Linked DNA regions of Nothobranchius furzeri. The protein of the gene in region 5 purifies or fractionates together with the protein of the main gene of each other region. This does not show direct contact. Links are inferred from orthologs where the notes say so. Each region holds a gene or a part of one and is shown on either strand. Other genes may lie near its edges. The genes, in order: zufsp, cdc45, cdk7, prpf19, rpa2, hltf and rad52.

Region 1 (3,965 bases), about 13 Mb from region 5:
GAAACATTAATGTAGATTACAGACCTCTCATCTTTTGTAAGTGGGACATTTTGCATAACAATGGCTGAAAAATACTTTTTTGCCCAACTGTAGCTCTTCCTGATACGGACGGCTGCAGCAGCTCACCTTTGGTGTGATCAGATTTGTTTCCAGTGACGGTCTCCTTACAGCAGCTGGTGGAGGGTTTAGGACACGATTCTTTTAAACGTGCCTTTAACCAAAAACTCTCAGCATGTGGTGAGTTATTCTTTCCTGTTTGTCCTGAGTCTGCATGGACTCTGCTGGTTATTGCTTCACCAGATGAATCACAGCTGTTTCCAGATGCAAAGGACTTTGATGTTTGGGCCATCCTTCTGTCACTTATAGCAACGTTTTTTGTTTTGGAGGAACCTGAAAAGCATGTGGCATTTGTGTGCTCTTCAGGATGTGCAGTTGATATGTGGAAACTGAGTTCGTTAAAGGAAACTCCAGCCAGGGAACATAGTGGACAGTGCATGTCATTTTCTAGGTGACTGAGAAGGAGATGCGTCTTCATGTCCTCCTCCAACATCAGTTCTTCTCCGCAGATTTCACAGGTCAGCATGGCCGCCACCTGCAGACAAAGGTTAGTATTAAGCTCTAATACAGCAGAAGCCTTGCAAATGCCAGATTAAAAGATTGATTTACAGTCTCTGAACGTGGTAAGCCTTGCACACAAACTGAACAGTCATTCAGGAATGGGATCTGAACATATACATGTAAATATCAGGTAAATATCTAAACTTCGGATTTAATAACTACTCTTATCCACCTATGTAACCAGAATACTTCTGGAACACCATCAGAATGCTAGTCTGCTGTTCGTCACCTGATCTCAATCTGAGATATGAGAGAAGCTGTCAACACGTGACCAGGTCAGGTTCATGAAATGAATGAAAGAGTTCAACAACACATGAAGCTTTTATGACGGTTTGAATTTGAATTTTGCAAGTTCCAGTTTGAAGTCAGATAACAAGTCAGTTGAAAGCAGGTCCAATTTCCGCTGAATGTTCTAGTAACGCTGTTTTTCTGACACACACACACACACACACGCACGCACACACACACACACACACACACACACACACACACACACACACACACACACACACACACACACACACACACACACACACACACACACACACACACACACACACACACACACACACACACCGGGTAGGATCCAGCAGCGAATGTTAGTCTCGAATAAAAACAGAAAATTTACTTACTAATAACAATACATCAACCCAAAGGAGACTGACTCCAACACAGCTTTGCTTTACGTCATTGCGCTTTAAAGGCCTTGACACTATGAACTGGTTCCGTACAAATTTTCAAAATAAATCTAAAACAATTCATGCGTCCCGATGTTAAGTCCTATAATGAAGGCACAAATCTATAGCAAGTGAGTTAAAACCATTTTTCCTATGCGCATGCGTGCAGACAGGTTTCAGATGGAAAGGCTTCACTTACTAACGGATGGTGGTTTGGTTTTATTTTTTACCCTATACAGAGAAACATTATTAGTCTAGCTTGACGCAGAACTGTTTGGCGGGCGGTTTTACAGCTGGCGGAAACGACGTCATTGTTGTTGTCGTGAGAGGGTTTCTGGGAAACTGTTTACCAGAACGCCATTTTGGTTTAAGAAGAGTGAGAACAGCTGTCCTGGTTTTTGTCTTTATGCGCTGGTGAGACCGGGACTGAGGGAGGGTGGTGGCGAGTTTTGGTCTCAGAGTTCAGCTTTCTCACGGGACGTAGCGCAAGCTGTTAACTTGCTATGAAGCTAGCGGAGCTTGTTAGTTAGGCTAAACCACCACACACGGTGGAGCGGTGTTTATAGTCTGGTGGTGTCACTAGTTCAGACTGGTTTTTCTGTTTAAATAGTTTAATTTCCGGTCTTGTTCAGTGTAATGTTTACTTTAACCATCGGGACACGTTTAGCTAGTCTGGCGCTGATCTGTAAGTTAAATGAAACGGTCACGTCTAAACAATAAAGATGTTTAGCTTCCTGTTGTGTTTCTGATATTAAACCGTTTATATTAGGTCCGTCTGATGGTCAGGACAGATTGAACGAATCCATCATGAAACAGCAGATTTGAACTGGATTCACTGGTTAGCTCTGAAACCCAGCTGATCGGACACCAGTTTCAGGGTGGGTTCATTAACTGACAGCTGGGGTTTTCTCTGAACCAGGATCAGCCATTAGAGTGGCGTTTACAGTTAACACACCAGGTGAACTGGAGGAGGGTTTTGGGTTCGTGTTTTGCAGTCAGACAACAGATTTGTGTTTCCACTTTGAGGAGGCAGCAGACTTGTCACCCAAGTTATTTATGGTTATAGTGAGGTTAGGTTGCCCCTAAAAAGTCAGCTCAAGTTGGTTCAATTTCTTTATCTCAGTAATTCTAGATGTTTGGATTTGGACAATGGCGTCCTGTTTCCTCCACTTGCTGTCAGGTTCCTCACACTGGTCCCAGATCCATTTAAAACTGATGAGTTTTACATTTACTGTTTTTAAGGCTGAATTTAGTTAGAAAACTCAGGTCAGGCGCTCCAAGACCCATCCAGTGTTTGGTGAGATCTTGTTTGGTCAGAATGAAGAAAGTAGAAACTGCTGTCACCTAGCAGTCAGAGTTTGAATTGCACCAAATCAAAGAAATGCAGCAAATCTTTCTGTAAATTCTGAAAGAATGAATACACTGCTTTTAAGTATGAATCCAGTGTTGTATCATGAAAATTATAATCTTACATCCTCAGTTTGTTCTTGTGTTGAACTCTTCAGACATGATGGCGAGCCCAAAGAAAGACAACTATAGGATGAAGAGCTACAAGAACAAAGCGTTGAATTCTCAGGAAATGCGTCGAAGGAGAGAGGAGGAAGGAATTCAGCTGCGTAAACAAAAAAGAGAAGAGCAGGTAAACACTCTGGCTCACTTACGCTTTCATGTTTAAAACTAGCTTTGGCCAATGGTACCTTGGAGCTGTGCATCATTCAGGATTATGTTAGAGAGGCTGATGAGGGTGTTTTGTGGTTTGTTGATATGCTAGAAGCTTGGTAACAAAGTTATGTGATTCATCTGAAACAGCTCTTCAAAAGGAGGAACGTGTCTGTACCTTCAGCTGATGAGTCGATGCTGGACTGTCCGATCCAGGATCCCGACATCAGCTCCACAGTACCTGTCACAGGCGTAAGTGTTGGTCAAATAAAAACATCCCACAACCACATGTCAGGTTGGTTCAGGACTCACATTTTTGTAATTTTGCCCCAAATGAAGATTTCCAGAGTGAAGTCTGGAAAATAAAATCCACCTAATTCTGTAACGGAATGAATTTATCCCATCGATCTAACGTGGCTCACATCAAACAACGGAGACACAACATGAGCGTTAATGCTGCATACATCCATGCTGGGTCTGTATCTAACATTGTGTTTGTTCAGGATGTGGTCATAACACCAGACATGATTCAGATGATCTTCTCTGAAGACCCGGATCAGCAGCTAATCGCTACGCAGAAGTTCAGGAAATTACTCTCAAAAGGTTGGTATCCCACATTTCCACCATTCCTCTCTGTGCTCCATAGATGATGCTGCTGAGGTCTGCAGCATAAGTGTGGAGACTGCTTAAAAACGCACAAACTGGGCCCATATCTACTGGAATAAAACCAGTAGATAGATTTAACATGTTATGTTGTTGTAGAATAAAGGTCCACTCTTATGCCATTAGTGCACAATTTACCTCACTGTTTCTGTTTCTTTGGCACAGAGCCCAACCCACCCATCGACGAGGTCATTTCCTCTCCTGATGTTGTTCCTCGCTTTGTTGAGTTTCTGAAGAAAAATGAGAACTCGACTCTGCAGGTGAGAACTTTACGCTCTTCTCCTGACTCGCTGTCATTCTGAAGGTCAGCATCACCCGACAAGCTCTGACGCAACAAGATAAAGATGA
Region 2 (3,500 bases), on a different chromosome or scaffold from region 5:
TCTAATAAATTTGGGTATGGATGCGGACTTGTTCAACGCTTCCTTTGCTTTTTATCTCTGACATGGTGTGATTCAGCAGCGGTTAAGACTAAGCTCTTATAAAGCCACCTTCCCTATGATGAGTAATTTTAGCAGCAGGAACAGGTGAGCCACATATGGCGCTTTACAAAAATAATTGCATAGAGGTAGTTTTTGATGTGGAAAAAGGAAGAACTGTTGGTAAATCACCAGTTAAATATACATATGTGTACATGAAGAGATATTTAAAACATGTTCACATAAAATTTAGTCAGGATTTTGTCTTTTAGAAAATCAGCAGATGAAGATATGGTTAAAATTCTTATAAATGTTTATTTTAAATTAATAGACTCTTGTGAAGTTGACGTTAACACCCCCAACAAATATAACATAAGGTGTGTTTCCATTACCGAAACTTCAGGGTAAATTTACAGGAACCTCCCAACAAGTCCTCTTCTTCAGTGTCGGAGTTGAACAGCCTCAGAAGAGCTTCGTCACGTACCTTTTCTGTGGTGATGTCGGTGTCGCTGTCCGTGTTGCTGTCATCATCCCCGGGTGAAGCTGGCTTGAATGAGTTCTTCCCGCTGCCGTCTCCAGCGCCGAACCATGGATTCATTCATGCCAAGCTTACGTGCGGCAGCACTGTTTCCCTCCTTTACTGCCACATCGATGGCCTTCAACTTAAATGCGGCATCATATGAACTCATATGTGTAGTTACCATGATGAGGGGGTATGGATTTGAAAAAAAATCTTCGTCATGCCGGCTGCTTGCATGTGCTAAATTAAAATGAGCACTTTCTTCGATTTCCACTTTTGACTTCCACCTGTTTCACTTCCTGCTAAAGCGCCTCCTGGTGGCAGGTGAAGGAAAATCTTCAGTAAAGCCGCACCTCATTATAAGCCGCACGGTTCAAAGCGTGGGAAAAAAGTAGCGGCTTATAGTCCGGAAAATACGGTAATGTGGAATTCGTCTGTATATTTCCATCGTTGTTATGTAAACACATTCATTCATTCAAAATGTTACTTGGTGTCTTTTCAAGAAAGTTCTTATATTTTATTTGCCCCATTTCATCGAAATCGAGAGCTTTTGGGGGTCGCCGTTTATCAGTTGATATCTTTGCTTTTATTTTACATTTCCTCTGGAAATTCAAACATATTTTCTCTGAAAAGTGTTAATTTTTGGACCACAGGACTACAACCGCTAAGACTATAGCCGCTAAGACTGCAGGCGCTAAGACTGCAACCGCAAAGACTGCAACCGCTAAGACTGCAACCGCTAAGACTACAATGACTACAACCGCTAAGACTACAGCCGCTAAGACTGCAACCGCTAAGACTACAACTGCTAAGACTACAACCGCTAAGACTACAACCGCTAAGACTACAACGACTATAACCGCTAAGACTACAACCGCTAAGACTGCAACCGCTAAGACTGCAACCGCTAAGACTACAACTGCTAAGACTACAACCGCTAAGACTACAACCGCTAAGACTACAACGACTACAACCGCTAAGACTACAACCGCTAAGACTGCAATCGCTAAGACTACAACGACTACAACCGCTAAGACTACAACCACTAAGACTGCAACCGCTAAGACTACAACGACTACAACCGCTAAGACTACAACCGCTAAGACTACAACCACTAAGACTGCAACCGCTAAGACTACAACGACTACAACCGCTAAGACTACAACCGCTAAGACTGCAACCGCTCAGACTGCAGCCGCTAAGACTACAACCGCTAAGACTACAACGACTACAACCGCTAAGACTACAACGACTACAACCGCTAAGACTACAGCAAATCAACACCAAAGTCCTCATTGTTGACGTGCTAACGTAACTTTTACAAATGTGGTATCGTAACTTCCGTAAGCCTTACGTTCAGCCAGTCATCTACTGTAGAGGCAGGACCCTGAGCCGATCTGGTACCAACACCGGGCCTTTGGGTCTTCCAGTCAATTTCCCCCTTGTTGCATTTACTCTGCAGTTCTGGTAATGGAAAACCCCTTATAGGGTCGGTTTAACAGATGAGGTATTTAATGATTCATTATCAGATGTCAAGTCAGAGTCTTGTTTGTTTTTTCATCAGAATGAAGGAAATTCGGATCCAGACGTTCGGCGTTCACTTTGGCTTTCAGAACCGTTTCCTGGCTAGCGACATGGTACATGCAACCGCTGCCTTGCTGGAGAGCACGGAGAAAGAAGAGAGCGATATTGCCCACAACTTCATCAAAGCTCTTGATTCCCTTTCAAGGTGCGAAGAAGAAACTGTCAACATCCTAAATTCTTCATGGTCTCGGTAGTATTTAGAAAAAGTTGAGGCCTACTTGATCTGGTTCTTATCCGTAGGGGCAACCTGGATCGTCTCCATGTTGGCATCGATCATGCTAAGAGGAAGCTTCTTGCCATCCAGCAGACCGTGGCCAGCTGCATCTGTACCAACCTCATCCTGTCACAGGGACCCTTCCTCTACTGTTACCTCATGGAGGTAAGTGTCCGCATGTCTCATGACGTCTCTGATCAGCAGCACAGCGTCACGGATAAATCCCCTGATATTTAGGGAACACCTGATGTGAAGCTGTTTTCTAAGCCCCTGGCCCTAACTCTGCTCTGCAAGTACCTGCTGAAGGCTTTTGTCCACTCAGTAAGTATGCATCTGATTAAATATACTGGCAACTCGCCAATATTACCGTAATTTCCGGACTATAGAGCGCACCTCAATATAAGCCGCACCAATAAAAAAAAAAGGTTTTCTACACACACGCCGCACTCGAATACAAGCCGCGGCGCAGCAGCCACATGCAGGTCTCCGGCGCACAGCGCATGTTCGGCCATAACATAAGATAATTAGACAGAAAGACGCTGCACGGAGGTTTTTCGTTGTCGTTTTAATTCAACAAAACGAATTTTAACCACGGGTGAACGTGCCTGCAAGTTTAGAAAAGAAAACAGCGCTGATAGCATTCATACTTCTGGATGTTATAAAATAAAAACAGCACTGACACGTTATTACCGGTAATTTGCATGTTTAGAAGAAAAGAACAGCGCTGACGCAGCATTAATAAGCCCTGGATGATTAGAAAATAAAAACTGCACACAAAACACGCCTGGTTACTAATGATCTGCACAGTGGAAACACCCTGGCCGTCTGCCCTTTGTGTGTTCACCCAGTCTTCAAGAATGTTTTCCAATTCCGGCCATCTGCTTTTATTTCCTCTGAAAGCTTGTGTCGTTTTTTTAAATTTTTTACATCGACTGAGTTCTTCCCGCTGCCGCCTCCAGCGCCGAACCACGCATTCATTCATGCCAAGCTTACGTGCAGCAGCACTGTTTCGGCAGGCGAAGGCAAATCTTCAGTAAAGCCGCACCTCATTATAAGCTGCGTGGGAAAAAAGTAGCGGCTTATAGTCCGGAAAATACGGTAATAACATTCATCTGGGCGCTCTGCATTCTGGTCATTTAGACGAGA
Region 3 (4,082 bases), on a different chromosome or scaffold from region 5:
TGTTTGATCTTTAGTGTAGAGGTGAGAAATTCTATTTTGTAAAATTAGATTAAAGCCAACAAAACGATCGTTGTCATTACTGCAGCGGCTCTGACCTGGTAACAACTTGATGAGTGTAGATTCTGTTGGGGCTTCCAAAAGCTTTGGCCAATCCAAAATCAGCCAACTTCAACACTCCGTTACTGTCTAGCAGCAGATTGTTGGGCTTCAAATCCTGAACGTATAAAGGAAAAAAGAAGCAATAATTCTAAATAATAAATCACCTCTGTGCATTTGCAGAATACGACAGAGTGGTGTTTAGGTGCTCGTACCCTATGTAGGACCCAATGTTGGTGCATGTACTCTAATCCTTGTAATGTCATGAGGATGTAGGCTTTAATATTGGCTGGAGTCAAGACTAGGCTTGTGTCTTTGATGATAACCTGAAAAAATAAAACGCACACAAAAAAATCTAAGCAAAACAACAAAAAATATGCTTATCTGACCCACACAAGGAAGCTTTAGAGAACTGAGATCAGACCAAACAGCTTCACTTTAACTACTCGACAAATCCCCAAAATGTCCGTAAAACTAAACATCTGTAGCTGATAGTTTAAACATTAACTGACTGAACCTAAAAATGTTTACAACATTATTGAAAAAGAATAGCCTCATAATTCACACATGCCTCCCCTAACTGCTGCCTGCCAGCTGCTAATGGCATAAATGTATTTGAGCCAAGAAGAGAGTGATATTGATTATTTGGAAGCACTTTTGTCTTTTTATTGCATCAGTAAAGTCTAATGTGTCTGAGGTGTGCGTCCGTCTGGAGTCTTGCACGTTAAAACGGAATGAAAAAGGAGAATGGGAGCATGAAAGAATAATTTTACTTTCATTTTAGTTGCTCCTTTTGTAAAGACATTTGATCTTGCAGCACACATCCTTATGTTACACGTTTCTCCCTAAACAAAACCTTAAACATCACAAATGTTCTTTATTTAATTCCAAAATTAAAAAGTCATTGAGGGAATGATTACTAGTGGTCCACAAATGCAAAAAAAAAAAAAAAAAAAAAAAAAAGAAGAAGAACGAATTTAACCCGACACAACACATGTATATACAATTTTATAATACCATGATTATTGTCTTTTTAATCAAAATTAGACCACAATTCTGTAAAGAAGTCACTTTCATTACTTACTCATTTGTATAAAAAAGTGCAATCATAACCACCTTTTCACCAAAATCCTGGGGAATGTTTAACTGAATCAATTTTTAAAGACTTTTTTGTTCTTTAAACCCTCAACCAAAAATTAAGCCTTAAATGGGAGAGCTATTTTACACGCTGATTGCTTATGATACTTGGATATACAGAACTAAAGTTAATTTAACCCTAACCCGACTTAGTGAAGACCATTTAATAGTACTTAAATTACAGGGGAAAAAAATCTAGTGCAAATATAAAAACAAGCTGTATGAATGTTCTATTACAGTGGTTCCCAACCTTCTTTCCATGGGGACCCACTTGCCTGTATCCAAGATGAGCCAGAACCCCCAACCACAACTTCTTCCAGCATCCACACATTAAAAATGATTAATTAAAAACTTTACACAGACATACAGATATTTGATTATACATTTGGGTGTGTCATTTGGATTTTAGAAATGTAATTCTTACAAAAACTACCTTGGTATTCTCACAACCTGAGCACAGACACATTTGTGGGGACCTCCAGCAATCCTGAGCAGGCCCCCATGGGGGGTCCCAGACCCTAGGTTGGAAACCACTGTTCTATTATATTAATGCGGAACTTCATCATATTCAGAAGTAATAATATCAGAGGGATAATTGTGCATATAATCAAAAACAGGAGGCAACTCACCTCCAGGTCTGTTTCCATAAAATCAAACACCAGGCTGATGTTTGATTTATGTCCAAATGCATCCAACAGCTACAACACATAGCACAGTAAATAACCAACACTGCATTTAAAAGAAACAAATTAATAACACGAGAATACCAAGATGCCTGATCAAACACACAGTGCCTCTTAAACGTTCAGACACACATCTACCCAAATTAAATAATTAGGTTGATTTTTCCAGATGTTTTACTGGAAATGTAGAGGACATAAATGCATGAACATAGTTTGAGTACCCCAATGATATTTGGATGATGCAGCTCCTGTAGCAGTTTGATTTCCCTGAGAGCAGTCCGATTTACACCTGCAAGAAAAGAACATTTATTTTCAATAAGATACAGCACGAGTGTTTGGTATGTGTGGGGCACAGGTGTGACTATGACTTACCATCTTTAGCTTCAGTTTTGTGACCAACTTTTATCTGAAAACAAGCAGATAATCAAATTTAACCCCGAACACCACAGTGTCCGATTAAAGCAGAAACTTCACTTTTTTTGTACCTTTTTGATGGCAACTATTGTGTCTGTCAGTTTGTCTCTGGCTTTGTAGACTGTGGCAAACTGAAGAGATGAAAGAAAGGTTATTAAAGGAGAGCATACAACGCGCTGAATGCTTTTAGAGCTAGTGTGATCACACCGAAGCTGCTGGGGCTTTGTTGACATTAGCTACCAGCTAACGCTTGTTATCAAGTTACTGAAAACGTTAAACAACAAAGCAAAAATAATAAAAGTGAGCGAAACGAAGAGTAGATATCGAAAACTTTGAAATAATTCTCTGCCTACCTGACCCTCTCCGAGAAAATCCAGTTTCTCGTATCGTTTCGCTCTGATTTTTACATCAAGCGCCATGGTAGCTAGCAGTAAGCTATCTTTTGGTCTGGTTAAAGGGCCAGAAAACTTCTTCCGGGGCAAAGGTGTCAGGCTTTAAAACTGAGCAACTGCGCCATCTACTGGTCAGGCTAAAACAATTTAATGTCAAAAGATGTGCAATTTTTTGGTTGAAAGAACACGTTCAGAATGATTTAAAATATAAACAGTTATTTAATACAAACTATGTAGGAATTGTTGTGACTTGTTCAGTCCCAATTAATGTCACCTAACTAAAAATCAAAATGTATTTCACCCTTTATTTAATCTTTTATTATTTTAAAATAAAGGATGAAATACATGTTTCTGATTTAGAGGAAAGACAACACAAATCTCATGGCAATTTGCCATTTTCCATTTGTTTTTTTTCATCCACCAGTTTTGACACTGGTCTCCTGGGAGCCTGTTCTGTCAGTTAGGAAGTTTTTGTGATCCATGCACCACTGAGCACATCTCTACATCCCATCACCATTCACTGTAAGATACCATAACATCCCACAGGATTAGGCACGGCTCCTTTGACCTTACTTGTCTTCTGTCTCAAATGCCCAAATTCTCACCCGTCAACACACACACACATTCAGAACACTCACCACTGACTTTCATTTTAATGTTAAGTTTGACAAGAGGAGTGTGAAGGATCAGCATGCCTAATACACCCCTCACCCCCCTCAGATGTATGCACATTCATGGTCTGACAGCTCACAGATGTGACTGACAGTATGTGGCTGTGCAGCAGAGAAGAGAGCAGTCTAGCCACACTTCAGTCCTTGCTGCCATCACATCATCAACTTTTCAGGACACAAATGCTGGCTTTGGTGTAGAAGAACTCTTATGGGTCTTGTATGAACCATTGTTTATTGCTCTGTCAAATACTTAGAATAACTGTTAAAAATTCAGCTTATTGTTTGTATCTGACCTTGCATAATGTGCAGTTTGTGCTAAATATCTAAGAAAACGGACAAGTGGAGGTCAAAAACAGAAACAATCCTGTCTTTAAAGACTGAGTCAAATCCAGCAAAGTCTTGACTGAGATGTAGATGATCCTACTGTTGATCATTGACTGCGTGTCAGGTTGGGACCACAAGCTTTTCCAGAATCACCTTGTTGGGATTAAAATTCTGATTTAATTAACAGATCAATACATTTAACAGGAAATTAATCAAACTTTGTGTTTTTGGACAGTCTGCTGGTATCTAAGAGTCTAAAGATGAAATTTTAGGGATGTTTGATATCACTTTTTCTGCCAATATCTGATAAAACGTAAGTCAGCTTCTTAATTTCCAATAACAATTTAAACCACACCAATAAACGC
Region 4 (3,931 bases), on a different chromosome or scaffold from region 5:
TGAGCAGGTAGTCTCCAGTAGCATGAAGGGACAGACCGGTGACGCTGGCTTCGTGGGCACGCACCACCTGGATGCAGTTGCCCCCGGTAACAGACCACACACGGATGGTGGCATCAGGAGAGGCAGAGAAGACCATAGACTAGAGGGGAGAACACGTCAGAGAGAAGGATCACACCTGGCACGTTCCTTCAGTTATCAATAAAAGACCCCCAACGGACAAAGACTCACCTGAGATGGATGGAAAATGACAGAGGTGACCTTTTTGGTGTGGCCTTTAAGAGTCGCCACAATCTGCTCCTCGTTCTTGTCAAACACCACCACACTCTTATCAGCTCCACCTGGAGGACGACAACACAGTCAGCGTTGGACTAAATCGGCCCCGAGCGGGTGATTCGACACAACGCCAAATCAAATAGGACAGAGTTAAGCTCAGAGTACCAGTGAGCACTTTGCTGGTGTCTGAGGGACACACGTCCAGGGACAGAATACCAGGCACACTGGCGCTGTGAAGACCCTGAAGCAAACAGGAAACAAGTCCACCAGATGAAGCACATTCAGTCGTTTATAGGACCATCTTCATCATCCTGGTTCTGCACTTACAGCGTGGGAGGCCACTTGGCGGTACTTGCTGAGATCCTCGGCTCTAACCAGCTCCTCTGGAACAGTTTTTCCCCTCTACAGAAGCACAAGGAACTTTTTAAATCACACACAATCACAAGATATAAAAACTTTACCTTCCGTTGGAAGTTATAACTATAACAAGGAAAAAATGCTACAAACCTTTTTCCTCTCTGTGGTGAGAATAGTAGCCTTGTCTTGCAGCTGGAATGATCAAACAGATTAAATTGTTTAAATAAAATGAAATATGAGCTTATAATAAAATAATAAAATTCTGTGGACATAAAAAAAGTGTTTTACCTTCTGGATGATCTCTGGAGTCATTCCCACCTGTTCACTGATCTCCATAGGCTCTCCACCAGCACCCTGCAATACAAATGTGAATATTTTATACAAGAGGACTAAAACTACCAAGAGCTGAGGGTTAAAACAGTTAGGCATGGGTCACTCACTGCTGCAGCAGGCTGAGAGGCGGGGGCGGCCTGAGGGGTCACCAGTCCAGCTTGAGGTTTAAGTGTGGCCAGAGCTGCAAAAACAAAATAAACACATTTAGGACATTTTAAACGTGCTTATGTTCCCATTTAACAAATAAACCTTTGAAATAACACGCCAAGTGGCTATTAACATTTTAGAAACACCAAGATGTGTCTTCTTAGGACATACAGACCTTCTCTTGCAGCCGTGACCTCCTTGTTGAGTCGAGCGATGACTCTGCAGGCTGCGTCGTGTTGATAAAGGGCGTGAGAGAGTTCCTGGCGAGTAGTCTGCAGTTGCTGCCGCAAGGTGAAGCTGTGAAGCATGACGGCATCCTGTAGGACGCATAAAAAAAACAACTCTTCCTGAGATTTGAAATTAATTTATTAGAAATGACAGCAATGTCTTTAATACTTGAGCTTACAAACCCCAAAATTACTTCAAAAGTTACGTAAAAGTGTCATATGTTGATCTATGTGTTTGACGAGTTTTCAGATTTATTTTTGTTCAAATAGCAGCTGTTGTGTGAAAAATAAAAGGGTGATTCCTGTTCTAAATAGTCAACAATAACACACAGGTGTGAGGTGGACGAGTGTCCTCCTGACCGTTTCCATCACTCACCCACTCATCTTGAAGAGACTTGAGAATAGCTGGGATGCTTGTTGCTGATGGCGCCTTTGGTCTGATGGGGTGGGTCACTAAGCGGGAAGACATTTTCCAAACCAGGAAAAATTCAGTCAAACCTTTTTAAGTTAAATATGTTATTTCAGTGTGCAACTGGATTGAACTGGTACAGTTTATTGAAAGGCCCAGACTTATCAGAGTGTTACTAATAATAAATTAAAACCATTATTTTAAAATTACGACTCAATTAAAAATAAAATAAATGAAAGATCAGATGGCCATGATCATTTCAGTTAAAAACGACGCAAGACAAAAAGTTTAGTTATTTACCTTTATTATAATAAACTGTATTTTTAATTTTGATCCCTTTTGATGCCTGGATTAATAATCGGTTAGCCTTAGGTTAAATAATCTGTCCCAAACAACCACTTCAGTGTGAATAACTCAGCATTTCATGTTTATCATGTTAAACAGGCTTTAATACAATGCGAATTTCAAACTCGTCGTTTACTCATTAATTCATTCGTAGTGTCCAAAAATATCAAGTTAATCAAACTTAAATAAAGTCAAATCGAGGGTGTAGTTCACCTTTGATGTCCACTAGCTGCTCCTCGGACAGCGGCTGTCCGTTCATCGGGTCCGTCCCATTCTCGGCGATGTACTTCTCTATCAGCCTCCGCTCAAACACATGATTGGACACCGGGGAGATGCACGGGTGCTCCGGCACCTCGTTGCAAACTACAAACAAACAAAAGGAGAGGGCGCATAACGCTCACAACTCAGTAAAAACAAAGAAAAAAAAGAGAATGGAGGGAAACTGAAGTTAAATACGGTTTGCGTGGCCGCTAATGTTAGCTTCATTAGCTTGTAGCATTAGCATGATACCGAGCTAACTCACAGGCGCCGTCCTGCAAATTTTCATCTTCACTTACTTGCACAAACCAAAGACATGTTCCAAACGCAGTCCTAACAGTGCCCTCCTAAACGTAGACTGTGTTTTTTGGCGTCTTGAATTTCCCCCCGCTTGTGAACACTTATATTTAGTTCAAACTGGAGATAGCACGCTGTCCTTTCATTGCCGCTATAAAGGAACTGCTTCCTTTTTCTTCGTCGCTGGTTTCCGCCAACAATCAAACCGCACTCATTTCAGTCTGCACTGCCCTCCACCGCTTAAAACACACCACTGCACTCTTGAAAATCTTACAGGGGTCTGCAACCAGCAGTGCAAGTGGCTCTTTAGATAAAAATTATTTTAAAAAGCACATTTTTAACATAGACATATTAAAAATTGTTGGTTAAAGCAGCTTTTCGGGTTTTATGGAATAACTACATTGAATATCCACATCAAAATGAAACTACAATTACCATTTGACATAATTTTCCACAAATATCAACATCCCAGAGAAAAATCTCCATTCTACGTTTGCCAAAGTATTTTTTTTATCATTTTAAAATTGACTAATGGAAACAAATGTTGGATATTTTTAAATGACAGCAAATCTAATAGTTCCTTATTGAAGAAGGCACAAATATTTCTTGCTTTAATCTCAGAATTCTCCCATTAATGTCAAGACATCTGAGCAAAAAAAAAAAAAAAAAAAAGAAGATAACTTTCCTCTACGTTAAACCTCCAACATAGATTTTTATCATAAATGGCGTTTTTCCTGAACGTCCTCTAACAGTTGAGGCTCTGAACAATTATTGGGATGGACTGAGAGAAAAACGGCCGTTTGGATTGTAAAGAATGCAGACCCATGCTCAAGCAGATTTCTCTATAGTCAAAGAATAGATAATATGAGGCGTTTGTGTTAAATATACATTTTATTGTTTTAGAGACAACCTTCTGATAGTCAATAATGAATTACATTAGTGATGCTATAATATGTTCCCAGATTTACAGGCTGTTGCCCTATAATAGGTTACATTTCTACAATTGTCTAGAGGGTAATAACACTACACCTGCAAAATAACTTTAACTGCAAGACAGATATTTATAATATTTTTTGCAGCAGTCAGGAATGAACAGGATGATTATGCACTTTAGTTTATGCTATAATAATGTGGCATTTTAATAATTTTCTCTTGCAAACCTTAGAGTAACTATGTTGACGTTTATGCAGACCTAGGGATCATAGAAGGCCAATGAACACTTGAGACACCCGGCAAAGACAGTGCAGATCATGTTGGTCCTGAGGGTCTGGAGGTAGGTAACAGC
Region 5 (4,069 bases):
TAAAGGTGCATTATGTAGAAATGAAGTAAAAACAACATCCTGTGGGAGAATTAGTTTACTGCAACCTCTTTAAACAACTGGACCTTTTTGCCGGCTATCGTCAAATTACAACTGTCGGCGCTGCAGTATTAGCTCGCAGGAGACACGGCAACCCCACACTCACTGATGGTAAACAGTAGTTACACCCCTCCTTCCTTATTTGTTTTGAAAGAAGAAAAAACTGACAATCCCCGTAGCTGAGATGTTCTCATTGTAAAATTTTCACTATATTCTTACATACTGCACCTTTAAACCAAAATCAAAAGAGTAGCTCACATTTGATTGATATAAAATGAATAAACTTAAAGTTTCTACAATACTGGCTGCCACAAAAATAAAATTAACATCAGGCCGTGTGGACTAATGACAATGCAAAGTGTATTTATGCACAGGCGACGCTGTAAAAGGGTTTATACTAGTAATGGCACCTCAGGGGCAAATTCCTCCATAGATTATTTTTATGTCTTCTAAATATAAACCAGTTAGTTTCCTGTCGGGAAACTGAAGCCAAATGAACCCACATGTGGTCATAAACAACTCTTAGAGCTTTTATGAATTCCAACATACTTTTAAGTGTTTCATTACAAGAAAAATACAAGTAAAGTTGAGACTGGTGCTGCTTTCTTTTCATACACGGGATCTATTACTGCAACACCTTTTGATTTGCCAGTCAATTGCATTGCTTTGAAATAATTAACAATCAATATCAATAATATTATTATATACATGCAAGACTGTTTATTTAGAACCTGCCCTGTTAACGTTGAAACAGTTTATTTGATTCAATTATTATTTCTTAAAATATAGACGTAAAAATTTTAGGGTCAGTTCATAACTTAAAATTACTTAGTTTGTGCTTTCATTTATTGTAGAAGCACAATAATATTTGTATTTGTCAAAATAAAAAAAAATTGTAAGAAAGATTTTCCGTGTGCATTTTGTCTTTTACGACAGTCATTGAATGCAACTAATGTGCTATGCAACCTGCCTAAAATATTCCCCGTATTTTGACGTCAGGTGGAAAAGCATAAAAAAACAAAAATGTCTTCTTTTAGTTACACACATTATGCTATTTTACGGAAATACATTTTTACAAGGATTATATTAGTTATTATTTTTATAGAAATGAGTCGACAAAACGTTGAAAAAAATTCCTGTGAAACAAAGCTCAGGGCTAAATGTACCTTAGTTGTTACGAGTTCGCGGGACTTATACTGTGCGCATGCGTTGTACATTGAGTTTAGCGCGCGAGTTTACTTAAGGAGAGATACTGCGTAGCTACATTGGGATACTAGGCCGTTTCGGAAGTTTTAAAACATTTGCACACCTTTTTAATACGTTATTTACGCGGTGGCACCATGTGGAATCAGGGTGAGTTGAATGCAGACTCGGTTATTTGTGTTTAAAAATCAGTAAAGGCACGTAGATGTCTGTTTGAGGCTAACGTTAGCAAGACTTTGGCAGTCAACGTTCGCTTACCTCATGAGGTTAACGCTAATGCTATTACACCGAGTTGTGTATGTTACCCAAGTACGTTTTACTTCGAATAATCGCTCCTGTTTACTGTAGTCTAATTGTTTTTTGATCTTTCAGGAGGCTACAGCGAGTCTGGAGTGGACGGGGGATACACTCAGTCTCCTGGAGGATTTGTTGCATCCCAGGGAGGAGAGAAGAAAGGGGTCAGTTGTAGTCTTGTTATAGCCAGATTTTAATCCAAGACAAACCTGACTCACGCCCAAATTGATTAAAAAATAAGTGCTAGGTTACACTTTTTCTCCTACATTCATTTTACAATCCAATGGATCAATATCACATACTCAGATATTTGTAGATTATGCAAGATTAAATGTTGATAGACTAAAAATTGTATGATTTTTTTTCACCAGAGAACGCGTGCCACACAAATCATCCCCTGCACAGTGTCTCAGCTGATGTCCGCCTCACAAGCAGACGAGGCCTTCAAAGTGGGAGATGTGGAGGTTACCCAGGTAAGCTGAACCAAGGCAAAGTGTACATGTGACAGCATTCAGTTAGAAAGAAGTAGAAAGTCCCTACATAATGGTACTGTAATAATAATGAAATAGTGATGGCATAATTTTGTCAGGTTACACTAAAATAAATGTTAAAATGATGAATAGTAGTAATTTGCTTTATCTTTGTGTTATAGGTCACCATTGTGGGCATCATCAGGAGTACAGACAAGTCTATGACCAATATCCAGTACAAGGTTGATGATATGACTTGTGCACCGATGGATGTGAAGCAGTGGGTGGACACTGAGGTGGGTGATTAAACTGTTTAGTGATTTTTTTTTACTAGTTAAGATTGGGTCCATTTCCTAAAGTCCAAGTCCACAAGGTTGACCGATATTGTTTTTCTATTACCGATATGTAGGAGACACTGTAAGCAAATGGTTGATATCTAGATGTTTTCCACCTTACTTTCCTGCTAAAATGTCACAACATCAGTTAATGCACAAATTTTCTGAAGCTGAATCAGTTTGTGAACTCTAAATTTAACTTACTGTTGAATCTTTACTTTGTGCACTCTCATTTTAAAGTCAGACACCTAAATAAAGTTAGTTTAGAATATTTATTATGCAGATGTTATTAGTGAATGTAAAAATACATTCAAAGTAATTTTCTCCAACAGCACCGGGCTGTTCAAATCAGCTTTACTAAGGACAAATATCGGTCAATACCGAAGTATAAACGCTGGTAAATATCGGCCGAACGATTTATCGGTCTACCCCTTCCCCAAAGTTAGGACCAGATTTTTTTGTGAAAACAGAAATTTAATTAAAAATAATTATGTTTTCTCTAACGAGATAGAAGGAGGATTGCTGTACTGATGCTAGTCAGTGACTCGATGCAACCTGCTGTGTTCCTTATATAGGAGCATTTTCACTGATTGGCTTAATGAACTGACCTGTATCGTAATGTTTACTTTGTGAAGTGCCTTGAGACGACTCGTTATTTGGCATTGTATAAATGAACTTAACAAAATTGAATTAATGTTCTTTTTTGTCATATTAAAGAGCAAGTTCACTGAGAAACCATTTTTCCTAATTACGTTTTAAAGGATCGGTCACTCAGAGTTTAACATGCGGGCTTAACGTGAAAACAGTCTCCTACCCCTATTTCCTGCATTTACGTTTGATAGAAAAAATGAAGAAAAACAAAGTTTGGTTCACAAAAGCCTAACAGATCTATGTCACACTGTCACTTAACATTCATGGACTCGCCTATCTCATGACGGGGAAGGCTGTTGTTAGTTAAGCATCCAGGAGAGGACAGAGCGTGTCTCGTTAGCATTAGCAACTCGACAAGATGGCAGAACTCCTTCAGGTTTGTGCTATATGTGGAGATAAAACGCAGAGCAGAGTCAGTGGTAGAGCTGTGTTGCTGTTAGCCAATCAGAGGATAGATGTCCAAATATTAGGAAATAAGACTCCAAATCCTACCTACGTAATAAAACAGGAGCATCTGAGCTTTTTTCCTCAGAGAATGACTTACAAGGCATGGATTCCTACTACAGACCACTGCAAATGTATTAAATATGAGTAAATTTGACTTTTAATATAAAAAGTTTACACAAAGGTGTGATTTTTGAATTATGTTCACCTGTGTGTGCAGGACCCGAGCGTCGACAGCGGCGTGCTGCCTCCAGGAACATATGTCAAAATCTCGGGAAATCTGCGATCTTTTCAGGTGAGTTTAGTTTTACAAACGTCTGTTTTTCCCCTGAAGTAAACAAAAACTGTTTTTAAAACATCAACATTTCTGCTGCTCCAGGCAAGAATAAGATTAGACAAACAAAACTCATTGTTTATGATGATTGTGAAAATGTGAAAATGTTTTCATGACTACAATAAGTACACAGCCATTAATCCCATGGCTGTGTACTTATTGTAGTTCCTCTGTGGAATCATCCTTGAAGAAACTGAAGCTGTTTGTTTCCCGTGTCAGAACCACAGGTCTGTCGTGGCGTTCCGCATCCGGCCCCTAGAGGACATGAATGAAATCACCTC
Region 6 (4,196 bases), on a different chromosome or scaffold from region 5:
ACGTGTCTGAGCAGAACCTCCCTGAACCGTCTAAAGGTGGTTCAGAACGCCTGTGCTCGGCTTCTGACCAAGTCCTCCAAACACACCCACATCACCCCGTTTCTCCTCCAGCTTCACTGGCTGCCAGTCAACTTCAGGGTTCATTTCAAGATCCTGGTTCTGGTCTATAGGGCCTTACATGGACAAGCACCATCTTAAGCCGGGCGTACACTGTGCGACTTTTTCACTCGTAGCACTCAGCTTCAGCTCAAACTGTACGACTTCCTCCCAGAGCAGATCTCACGAGTCATGCGCTCACACTGCACGACCCAGTTCTCGGACGCAATCTGACTGCTCACACTGTACGTCTGGTAGCAACACATCTGCCCTAAAAGTATGCTAAAAATAGCAGTTTTTACTCAGCACGTCAGACTTTTTGGTCTTGTTTTGCCTGTTGTCCTTCGGGAGTGCTGCAGGAGGACACACAGGGATTTATGGGGGTTGGATGAGGAAAACGAAATAAAGAAAGTAAATCTGTGTTTTGTGATCAGTTTAATTTGACATGAACACGACAAACACGCTTTCTTGACAATCTTTGTGAGTAAAAAAAAACGTGTAGAAATAAAAACAAACAACGTGTGTTATTAGGGAAATAGCGAGCGAGCGGTGTTGATGCAGGATTGCGCATGCGCCGTGAGCGGTTCTGATACATTTTGGGTCGCAGCTGCTCGCAGCGCCGCTTCAACAGTGCGATACCCTCACGAGGGACGAGCGAAATATTAAACACGCCAGAAGTCCATGCGACCTCACGACTGCTGATCGGTAGCTGGTCACGTGGTGTTAATCGCCTCTCGTAACCCCCTGTACACTACACGACGCTCGGCGCAAAACTCGTCCCGATCTCGTGGATTCTCGCACGACTGGAAAATCGGCTCAAAAAAGTGAAAAAGTCGCACAGTGTACACCCGGCTTTACATTGGTGACCTTCTTAGTCCCTACACCCCCAGCAGGTCCCTGAGGTCCAGTGATCGTGCAACGCACCAGGCTAAAGACCAAAGGTGTCAGATCATTTGCTGCTGTGGCCCCCAGACTCTGGACCTCTCTCCCTGAGCCTGAGATCAGTGGACTCAGTGGTCTCCTTTAAAATCAATCAATCAATCAAAGCTTTATTTATAAAGCGCCTTCCGCATCCCTGTCAGGAAGCCCAAGGCGCTGAACACTGTACAGTACAAAGTCAAATAAAGTGAATAAATCTGAAAATAAAAGCAATTCAAATTACAGATTACAAATTACAAAAAAATTTAAATAAATAAATAGCAGCTGAAGACTCACCTGTTCAAGCAGGCTTTTGTAAGACCTTTTTCACCACTCTCTCCTTATTCTGCTCTCCCCACCTATTCCGCCTTCCTCAGGATCCACTGATTTCCCTCTTTCCTTTTCACACTATCTCTTTCTTAACGTGTCTGAAACCTGAAAGTTCTCTTTCTTAACATTTTTTAATCACAATTGCCTATTTTTGCTCATTTTAATATATTTTTCAACATTTTCTAAATGCCTTTTTATATTTTTTTGTTTTTGTGAAGCGCCTCGCAATTTTTAACATGAGAGGCGCTATAGAAATGATATTTTCTTCTTCTTCTTTCTCATTATCCCATTCCACCCACAGACAGTCCCCTTTCAACTGCAGAGTACCAGATGGAGACACTCTCTTCACACCTCAGCAACAATGGCTCCGTTGTCTCCTCTCCCTGCAATCCTCTCTGAATCTAGTAAATATCAACAGGTGATTCAAGCAGCTGAACCCCTGCAGTGCAGCTGGAGAGGACTTTGTCCACCCTGAATCACTATGCTAATCAACTGTCTACAGTGGTCCTGCTTGAACTCCACGATCATCTCAGTCTTCCAAAATCCTGGACTCAAGAAATGTAGTAACCCCAGTAAATGTAGTAAGATGTTGCTGTACATTTGGTTCTGCATGCAGACCCAACAGTTCAATGGGTGATGAAATCACCATTGGTTTTTAGGAATTTAGCTCCATGTTTAGCACAGTGGCAGAAGATGAGCTTTTGTAGCTGGCGAAGACGGATCACCAAGGTCCTGACCAGCAGGAATCAGTGGGTGAGAAGGGGGGGGGGTTAATCTCCAACTTGTTTATAACTGAGTTTATAAACCAAAAGTTAGTCCAGAAATTCAACCTAAAATCACAGGGCTGGTACACAAACTCAAAATAATGAAAGCTCAGTAAATATTCATAGTAATAATTTAATTTCATAATAATCAGTATAGTGACTGATTGGTTACTCACCACCCCAGTGTAATATCTGAGCCCGACCACAGTCCCCTTCAGGTTCCCAAACAGCACGCATCCATCTGCATCTGGTTCCTCGGCTCTAGCAGCTCTGATGATCTGGGACAGAGTATCTGTCTGGGTCTCTGAGGGCTCTGAGAAGAGGTCCACATCATCGAACGGCCCCCAACCGAACCCCCACCGGCGAAAAGACATACCTGTGTCCATAAATTAAAATAAACACATCAATAACCGCCACTTTTATCATTTTGCCACGCAAAACAACCACTCTGGCAGGCCGAAGCACTGTTAGCTTAATCATCTGAGTTTAAATAAATCTACAGAAACAAGCAGCCTGCGCATGAAGAACAATAATCAAAATTTAACAATGTTTTTGTGACGCCCACAAAGTGTGGTCACATACCGCCAAGTTCTTGCTGCCAGCCCTGATGAGAGAAGTTCCGCGCGAGTGTTTTCGCTTATTTTCATCTGAGCCAATACCAGTCCAGTCCAGTAAATCTGCGACTTCCGTTTAAAATTTTCAAAATAAAATTGCTAGGTTAAGTAGTAGACATCTTTGAGATCTACTACTTTTGATTTTGACATCTGACATTTTTTTAACAAACAAAATTAATATTCAGTAAAAATTTGTTAAATAAATAATTTGGAAAAAAGCAACAAACCGTGCTTTGTTTCTAGTTTTCTAACATTTTGATCCCGAAAATCCTAAACGTTTTGCTTTTCGCAGCGTGCTGCGCAGAAGTGATGCGTAGAGCAGTGCTACGGAAGCCGTGAGGGTCTCACTTCTCGCTTCAATAAAGTTCCGCTTCCTCGCTGCTAGGTTCCTTCCCGAACCGAACATCCGTGACTGGGAGTACCAGGGAGGAACGAGACACACAAATGAGGCGGTGTGTGCTTAAAAACCGCACCGATTTTTACACTCGTTGTGCTTCTTTTGAAACCTCAGAAAATCTGGACGTTAAACGGACTCGAGACAGACAGACAGAAACAAAGCTGAGGTGCTGCTTTATCGGTTGACAGCTACTACTGGTGAGTTTACATTTGATTTCTCTGCGAAAGTCAATTAATAATCAGTCCCATTGAGACATACGTGCTTCTTTAACATGGTTTCCATTATTTTAAAGCAATTTATGAAAACAAATAAGCAAAACCAAAACACCTTGTTTAGAAATGCAAAACCTCACTCAGCTAAACTCTTTTTGTGATTAACTTATAGGAAGTAAACAGGATGCGTCATTGTAATAGATTAAGTCCAATGAATCACCCTATTACACATTCGTATAGCCTTTATAACACAGTTTCACAATATATGTGTCATTAAGAATAATCTAATTGTATGCTAAAACGTAGAATTGATTAAATTGGTTATTTTAAATATATCTGGCATAAAATAAAATGTCCATCATTATCCCATGATCATTGAAGCAGTGTGTGGCTCAAACTGCAGCTTTAAATCATTACCACAATCTGTGCCTGTGATTTCCCCATCTAGAGGGTTTGTCCTAGCCTGGCAAGCCAGACTAAATAAATGTATTATTTAAACTTTGCAAAGCAAGAATTTGGTCTAGTTCACTAGGCTAGTTTTGTCCTGCAGCTGCAACAAATATAACACCTCAGCGTGAGTCCTCAGGCTGCTTTTGTACCCAGGTTCTTCAGATTCTGCAAGTCCTCCTGTGTTTGTGGTTCACTTGCTGATATCCAGTAAGGAGGTAATCATCCAGAGACTCTGCATGCACTCACACAGTGCAGCAAATGCATGTTTGCACATCTGGTTTAGGTGATTGGTTTATTTCTGTGACCAGGAGATGGAAGTGGGTCGTGTGTCATGACTCCTTCCAGGAAGTCGTCCACAGAATATCCTTTTATAGAAGTCGAAACACAAAAGGCTTGTTGTCCACTTCCTGTAAAC
Region 7 (3,994 bases), on a different chromosome or scaffold from region 5:
AGTAATTTAAAAACAATCAAATAAAATAATGAATTTTAAAATTCATAATTTTATTTGTGAAACGTTAAGTGACTGAATTAAGCATGGAATAACTGCAGATCATCGCTATGGGGGATCTTTGGCCTGTGCAGATTTGTTTTAGTTTACCAAAACAGCTTGTTTAAGCTCAATGGCGGATATTTTCTTTCAGGATTTTTCTTATAGAGCAGAATTCATAGATCCGTTGAATACAGCTAGTGGCCGTGTTTCTGAAGCTGGAAACCCGTGATAGAATTATCCAGAATGTAAATAAAAATGTTTTAAAAAAATTGTATTACTGGAATTAAAAATGAAACTTTGAAGGGATGCGAAAGTATTTCATATTTTAAAATGTGATGTAACGACAACAGAGACCCAGGAACCGTAAACATACACAAACATTATGGTTCACCATAATAAAAAAGATGTAAAAAAAATACTAAAATAACTAAAATCACATTTTAAAATGTCCAACAGAAATCCAAATTATTGTCTAATCTAGAAACAAAATTAACTTAATTCAGAGCGATACTACTACTACTACTATTACTACTACTACTACTACCTTCTCGGCCTAGTAGAGTGTCTGCCTGGGTCTTTAACCCTCCCGCTGCCCTCACCCTTGCCACATGGGCCCAAGGGATAAACCATCAATCCTGCTCAATGGTCAACTTTCCTCGCAGGGTCACCCATAAAGACAGTGGGAGGGTAAAAAATGGGACCCAGTGCCTCCCTGCTTGACACCCAGCATTAAGGGGTTGGATTGGGGGGGTTTAAACCAATAACAGCATATAACAGCATATATATATATATATATATATATATATATATATATATATATATATATATATATATACACACACATGTGTGTGTGTGTGTGTGTGTGTGTGTGTGTGTGTGAGCAACTCCAGAGTGGTAGAAAGTCCAACCCCTCTCAAGGAAACTGGTTACGGAGCCAGAGCCATGCATTGAGGTGAGTCCGACTATATCTAGTTGGAACCTCTCCACCTCAAAAACCACCTCAGGCTCCTTCTCTACCAGAGAGGTGACATTCCATGTGCCAAGAGCCAGCTTCTGTAACCAAGGATCAGACCGCCAAGGTCCCCGCCCTCGACAACCACCCGTCACACACTGCACCTGACCCCTTTGGCCTCTCCCACGAGTAGTGAGCCCAGGTAAGGGGGACCCACGTTTCCTCTCTGGGCTGTGCCCGGCCAGCTCCATGGGTGAAAACCCGGCCACCAGGCACTCGCCAACGTGTCCCACTTCCAGGCCTGGCTCCAGAGGAGGGCCCCGGTGACCCACGTCCGAGCAAGGTAACACGGTTTCCATTTATGTTATTCATTATATATATATATGGGTTAAACCACCAAATAATGCCGCTTCCCACTGGATGGGTCAAATGCGGAGATCGCCACCACTGTGTGATGACTGTGGGACTTTGAATACTACTATCACTACGTTTCGTTTCTAACTTCAACTTTATTTTGTTACTATTTATGTTGATACATTTTCTCCGGAATCGTTAGGAAAAAATACCTCTCATTCTGTTATTAAAAAGGTAATGGTGTCTCTGCAGAAATGTTGAAGGGTTAATTTTCCGATTGTCAGGAAGGCAGCACGAGGCTCCGCCTCTTCCGGTGAGCCAAGCGGGAAGTTGCTTGTAAATTTAAACTAGCTAACACCTTCGTGCTAATTTGACGTAAACACCACATTTATTGGATTTAAAGCAGTGAGTTTACGTTTACTCGTTTTTTTATTAGCAGCTTTTAGCTAGGTTGAGCTAGTTACGAAGACTAAAGCTTAAACCCAACGAGTCACTTCTATGTTTAAGTAAAGCATTTGTTTTGTTAAATGTTGTTTCAAAAGCCTAGAAGACACTAATGAGTGTTACTGTTTCGTTTTGCTCTATGTGTGTTTCAGTATGTCTGCACAGCTATGACGAGCAGCAACGAGGGATGCATCCCAACGTCATCCAGGCACTTCGGACAGGTAAATAAATCAAACAATTGCAGAACTCGAAACTATTTTAGATGAATTTTCAATCGAATTACACTTAAATTATAATATTAGATTAATAAATAATGAGTGTTTTAATCCCACAGATGCTCAGGTTTTGTCAGATGAATTTGTTTGACTTTTTCAGTGCACCTACACAGCTGAGGAGTACCAGGCGGTGCAAAATGCCCTGCAACAGAAACTTGGACCAGAGTACATCAGTTCCAGAGTGGCTGGAGGGGGACAAAAAGCAAGTGTTTCTTTTACTTTGTGACAAAAACGTGAGACGCCTGGTTTCATTCATGAAGCTTGAGATTCAGAGCTTGAGCAGAAAACATGTCTCAGCACAAAACCCAAGTCTCCTGATGGGATTTGAATTTACTGATCATTAAAAAGGTATTGTAATGATCTAATAGTGTTGTTTTAAACAGGTGTGTTACATTGAAGGCCACCGTGTTGTCAGCCTGGCCAATGAGATGTTTGGATACAATGGATGGTCGCATTCCATTTCCCAGCAGAATGTTGGTACGACTCATCTGCATTTGCAACAAGTGCCTAAAAACTATTACTTGCTGAAAAACAGTCAGAAATAATCATTTGCACATGGATCCTTCAAATATTTTACGTTTTAACGTGTTATAAAAATGACTTCTTTTTTTCTTTTCCAGACTTTGTGGACCTGATCAATGGGAAGTTTAATGTAGGAGTCAGTGCGTTTGTCAAAGTGCAGCTGAAGGTTGACTCACAGTCTCATCAATATTAATCATCAGCTCCAGTTTCCTGTGAGCCTCTACAGGTAATCGAAGTAAAGTGTAACTGGTGTTTTTTCTTTCCTAGGATGGGTCGTTTCATGAGGATGTGGGATACGGAGTGAGTGAGGGGCTGAGGTCCAAAGCTCTGTCCCTAGAAAAGGCGAGAAAGGAAGCTGTCACAGATGGAATGAAGAGAGCACTGAGGTAAAGACCTTTACAGATTTATATTTAGTAACTTTGATTCATGCGAGAAATTTGTGTAACTCTTCAAAAATATTATTTCTCATGTTGAGATGTTTTGGTAATGCCCTTGGAAACTGCATCCTAAATAAAGATTACCTCCTCGCCATAAACAAGATCCCAAAACAGGTCAGTCGGCAATTTAGGTTTTTTGTTAAATTGGATTATTCAAATCCATAAAATTTTCTAAAACTTGACTTCTTCTACACAAAGCCTCCTCCTCCTCCTGACCCGACCCAGACTAAACGGTGCGACGGTCAGCCATCAGTAGAGAAGGCTCGGCTCTTCAGTCTGGTCCAGGAAGATTCACTTTTAAAAGCCGGACCTGCCCGAATGCCACTAGAGCCCAGATTATTCTACCAGAACCATTCAGAAGTTCACACCCCTGGAGCTGCTGGCTTTGCTCCCAGCGGGGTGAATGAGAACATCAAGTAAACATTACAAACGGCTCTCAATCTGCTTCTCTCTTTTACAAGTGGTCATCCACCATAGCTGCTTTTCTCCTCTCCTCTAAGATATGCCGTGAACTCTGTCGATGTCGTCTCTGAAGCACACACGGACCCCAAACAGCTGAGGAAGCTCCGACAGCAGCAGCTTCAGCAGAAGTTCAGGAGAGAGATGGAGGCAAAGAAGCTGCAACAGAAACAGGAAAACTCTGAAGAGGCAGAGGTCGCTGTTAGACGTAAATCCTCCGGAGGTAAAAGTTTCATGTTTAACATTGAACACCAAAAAAAGTGCACTAAACTTTAGTAGTTACAAGACTGATATGGGGCAGGTGGAAGCGATCAAAGGTCCAGGTTAGCCCGGTAGATTATCAACATAGGTTCTTAAAGGGTCCCAGGTTTCGTGGCATTAATTGATGGTGCCATCGAGTGTACATCTGATTTTTTCCAGTTTAACATTTTGCATAACCGTCTGTGATCCAGTGGTGTTGTGATGGAGGGATAGAATCATTCCATTTTTATAAAATCAAGCGTGTGGCTAGT

What was found.
Region 1: the proteins of rpa2 (region 5) and zufsp purify together in Homo sapiens (affinity purification with western blotting; 3 studies listed by BioGRID, with this or other methods). This does not show direct contact. The link is inferred for Nothobranchius furzeri from reciprocal best matches to the Homo sapiens genes RPA2 and ZUP1.
Region 2: the proteins of rpa2 (region 5) and cdc45 purify together in Homo sapiens (affinity purification with western blotting; 3 studies listed by BioGRID and IntAct, with this or other methods). This does not show direct contact. The link is inferred for Nothobranchius furzeri from reciprocal best matches to the Homo sapiens genes RPA2 and CDC45.
Region 3: the proteins of rpa2 (region 5) and cdk7 purify together in Homo sapiens (affinity purification with mass spectrometry; 3 studies listed by BioGRID and IntAct, with this or other methods). This does not show direct contact. The link is inferred for Nothobranchius furzeri from reciprocal best matches to the Homo sapiens genes RPA2 and CDK7.
Region 4: the proteins of rpa2 (region 5) and prpf19 purify together in Homo sapiens (affinity purification with western blotting; 4 studies listed by BioGRID, with this or other methods). This does not show direct contact. The link is inferred for Nothobranchius furzeri from reciprocal best matches to the Homo sapiens genes RPA2 and PRPF19.
Region 6: the proteins of rpa2 (region 5) and hltf purify together in Homo sapiens (affinity purification with mass spectrometry, with the first as the bait; 3 studies listed by BioGRID). This does not show direct contact. The link is inferred for Nothobranchius furzeri from reciprocal best matches to the Homo sapiens genes RPA2 and HLTF.
Region 7: the proteins of rpa2 (region 5) and rad52 purify together in Homo sapiens (affinity purification with western blotting; 3 studies listed by BioGRID and IntAct, with this or other methods). This does not show direct contact. The link is inferred for Nothobranchius furzeri from reciprocal best matches to the Homo sapiens genes RPA2 and RAD52.

What each region holds. Positions count from the first base shown.
Region 1 is NC_091745.1:58,608,992-58,612,956, forward strand, and holds the start of zufsp (zinc finger-containing ubiquitin peptidase 1), read right to left. Parts: upstream 2,801-3,965; 5' UTR 2,768-2,800; intron 2,174-2,767; exon of another isoform or gene 2,061-2,173; intron 1,981-2,060; coding exon of another isoform or gene 1,932-1,980; exon of another isoform or gene 1,728-1,931; intron 1,710-1,727; exon of another isoform or gene 1,495-1,709; intron 1,356-1,494; exon of another isoform or gene 1,251-1,355; intron 686-1,250; exon of another isoform or gene 667-685; intron 593-666; 5' UTR 584-592; coding exon 127-583; intron 1-126. Other genes in the region: kpna5 (importin subunit alpha-6), read left to right, coding at 1,932-1,980, 2,801-2,934, 3,105-3,206, 3,458-3,557, 3,783-3,877. UniProt on the Homo sapiens protein: Deubiquitinase with endodeubiquitinase activity that specifically interacts with and cleaves 'Lys-63'-linked long polyubiquitin chains. Shows only weak activity against 'Lys-11' and 'Lys-48'-linked chains.
Region 2 is NC_091757.1:55,446,234-55,449,733, forward strand, and holds part of cdc45 (cell division control protein 45 homolog), read left to right. Parts: coding exon 1-14; intron 15-2,120; coding exon 2,121-2,285; intron 2,286-2,380; coding exon 2,381-2,519; intron 2,520-2,591; coding exon 2,592-2,675; intron 2,676-3,494; coding exon 3,495-3,500. UniProt on the Homo sapiens protein: Required for initiation of chromosomal DNA replication. Core component of CDC45-MCM-GINS (CMG) helicase, the molecular machine that unwinds template DNA during replication, and around which the replisome is built.
Region 3 is NC_091757.1:44,652,888-44,656,969, forward strand, and holds the start of cdk7 (cyclin-dependent kinase 7), read right to left. Parts: upstream 2,801-4,082; 5' UTR 2,750-2,800; coding exon 2,684-2,749; intron 2,462-2,683; coding exon 2,402-2,461; intron 2,323-2,401; coding exon 2,289-2,322; intron 2,206-2,288; coding exon 2,138-2,205; intron 1,932-2,137; coding exon 1,863-1,931; intron 423-1,862; coding exon 312-422; intron 215-311; coding exon 96-214; intron 1-95. UniProt on the Homo sapiens protein: Serine/threonine kinase involved in cell cycle control and in RNA polymerase II-mediated RNA transcription. Cyclin-dependent kinases (CDKs) are activated by the binding to a cyclin and mediate the progression through the cell cycle.
Region 4 is NC_091741.1:94,861,653-94,865,583, forward strand, and holds the start of prpf19 (pre-mRNA-processing factor 19), read right to left. Parts: upstream 2,801-3,931; 5' UTR 2,668-2,800; coding exon 2,649-2,667; intron 2,455-2,648; coding exon 2,305-2,454; intron 1,791-2,304; coding exon 1,714-1,790; intron 1,428-1,713; coding exon 1,286-1,427; intron 1,145-1,285; coding exon 1,071-1,144; intron 985-1,070; coding exon 919-984; intron 823-918; coding exon 781-822; intron 676-780; coding exon 601-675; intron 515-600; coding exon 439-514; intron 339-438; coding exon 229-338; intron 140-228; coding exon 1-139. UniProt on the Homo sapiens protein: Ubiquitin-protein ligase which is a core component of several complexes mainly involved pre-mRNA splicing and DNA repair. Required for pre-mRNA splicing as component of the spliceosome.
Region 5 is NC_091745.1:71,983,799-71,987,867, forward strand, and holds the start of rpa2 (replication protein A 32 kDa subunit), read left to right. Parts: upstream 1-1,269; 5' UTR 1,270-1,397; coding exon 1,398-1,410; intron 1,411-1,632; coding exon 1,633-1,718; intron 1,719-1,925; coding exon 1,926-2,027; intron 2,028-2,206; coding exon 2,207-2,320; intron 2,321-3,674; coding exon 3,675-3,749; intron 3,750-4,007; coding exon 4,008-4,069. UniProt on the Homo sapiens protein: As part of the heterotrimeric replication protein A complex (RPA/RP-A), binds and stabilizes single-stranded DNA intermediates that form during DNA replication or upon DNA stress.
Region 6 is NC_091758.1:23,582,358-23,586,553, forward strand, and holds the start of hltf (helicase-like transcription factor), read right to left. Parts: upstream 2,801-4,196; 5' UTR 2,691-2,800; intron 2,485-2,690; 5' UTR 2,483-2,484; coding exon 2,285-2,482; intron 1-2,284. UniProt on the Homo sapiens protein: Has both helicase and E3 ubiquitin ligase activities. Possesses intrinsic ATP-dependent nucleosome-remodeling activity; This activity may be required for transcriptional activation or repression of specific target promoters.
Region 7 is NC_091744.1:73,170,775-73,174,768, reverse strand, and holds the start of rad52 (DNA repair protein RAD52 homolog), read left to right. Parts: upstream 1-1,194; 5' UTR 1,195-1,334; intron 1,335-1,628; exon of another isoform or gene 1,629-1,851; intron 1,852-1,941; 5' UTR 1,942-1,956; coding exon 1,957-2,010; intron 2,011-2,164; coding exon 2,165-2,266; intron 2,267-2,447; coding exon 2,448-2,541; intron 2,542-2,684; coding exon 2,685-2,752; intron 2,753-2,853; coding exon 2,854-2,972; intron 2,973-3,061; coding exon 3,062-3,137; intron 3,138-3,221; coding exon 3,222-3,439; intron 3,440-3,523; coding exon 3,524-3,705; intron 3,706-3,994. UniProt on the Homo sapiens protein: Involved in double-stranded break repair. Plays a central role in genetic recombination and DNA repair by promoting the annealing of complementary single-stranded DNA and by stimulation of the RAD51 recombinase.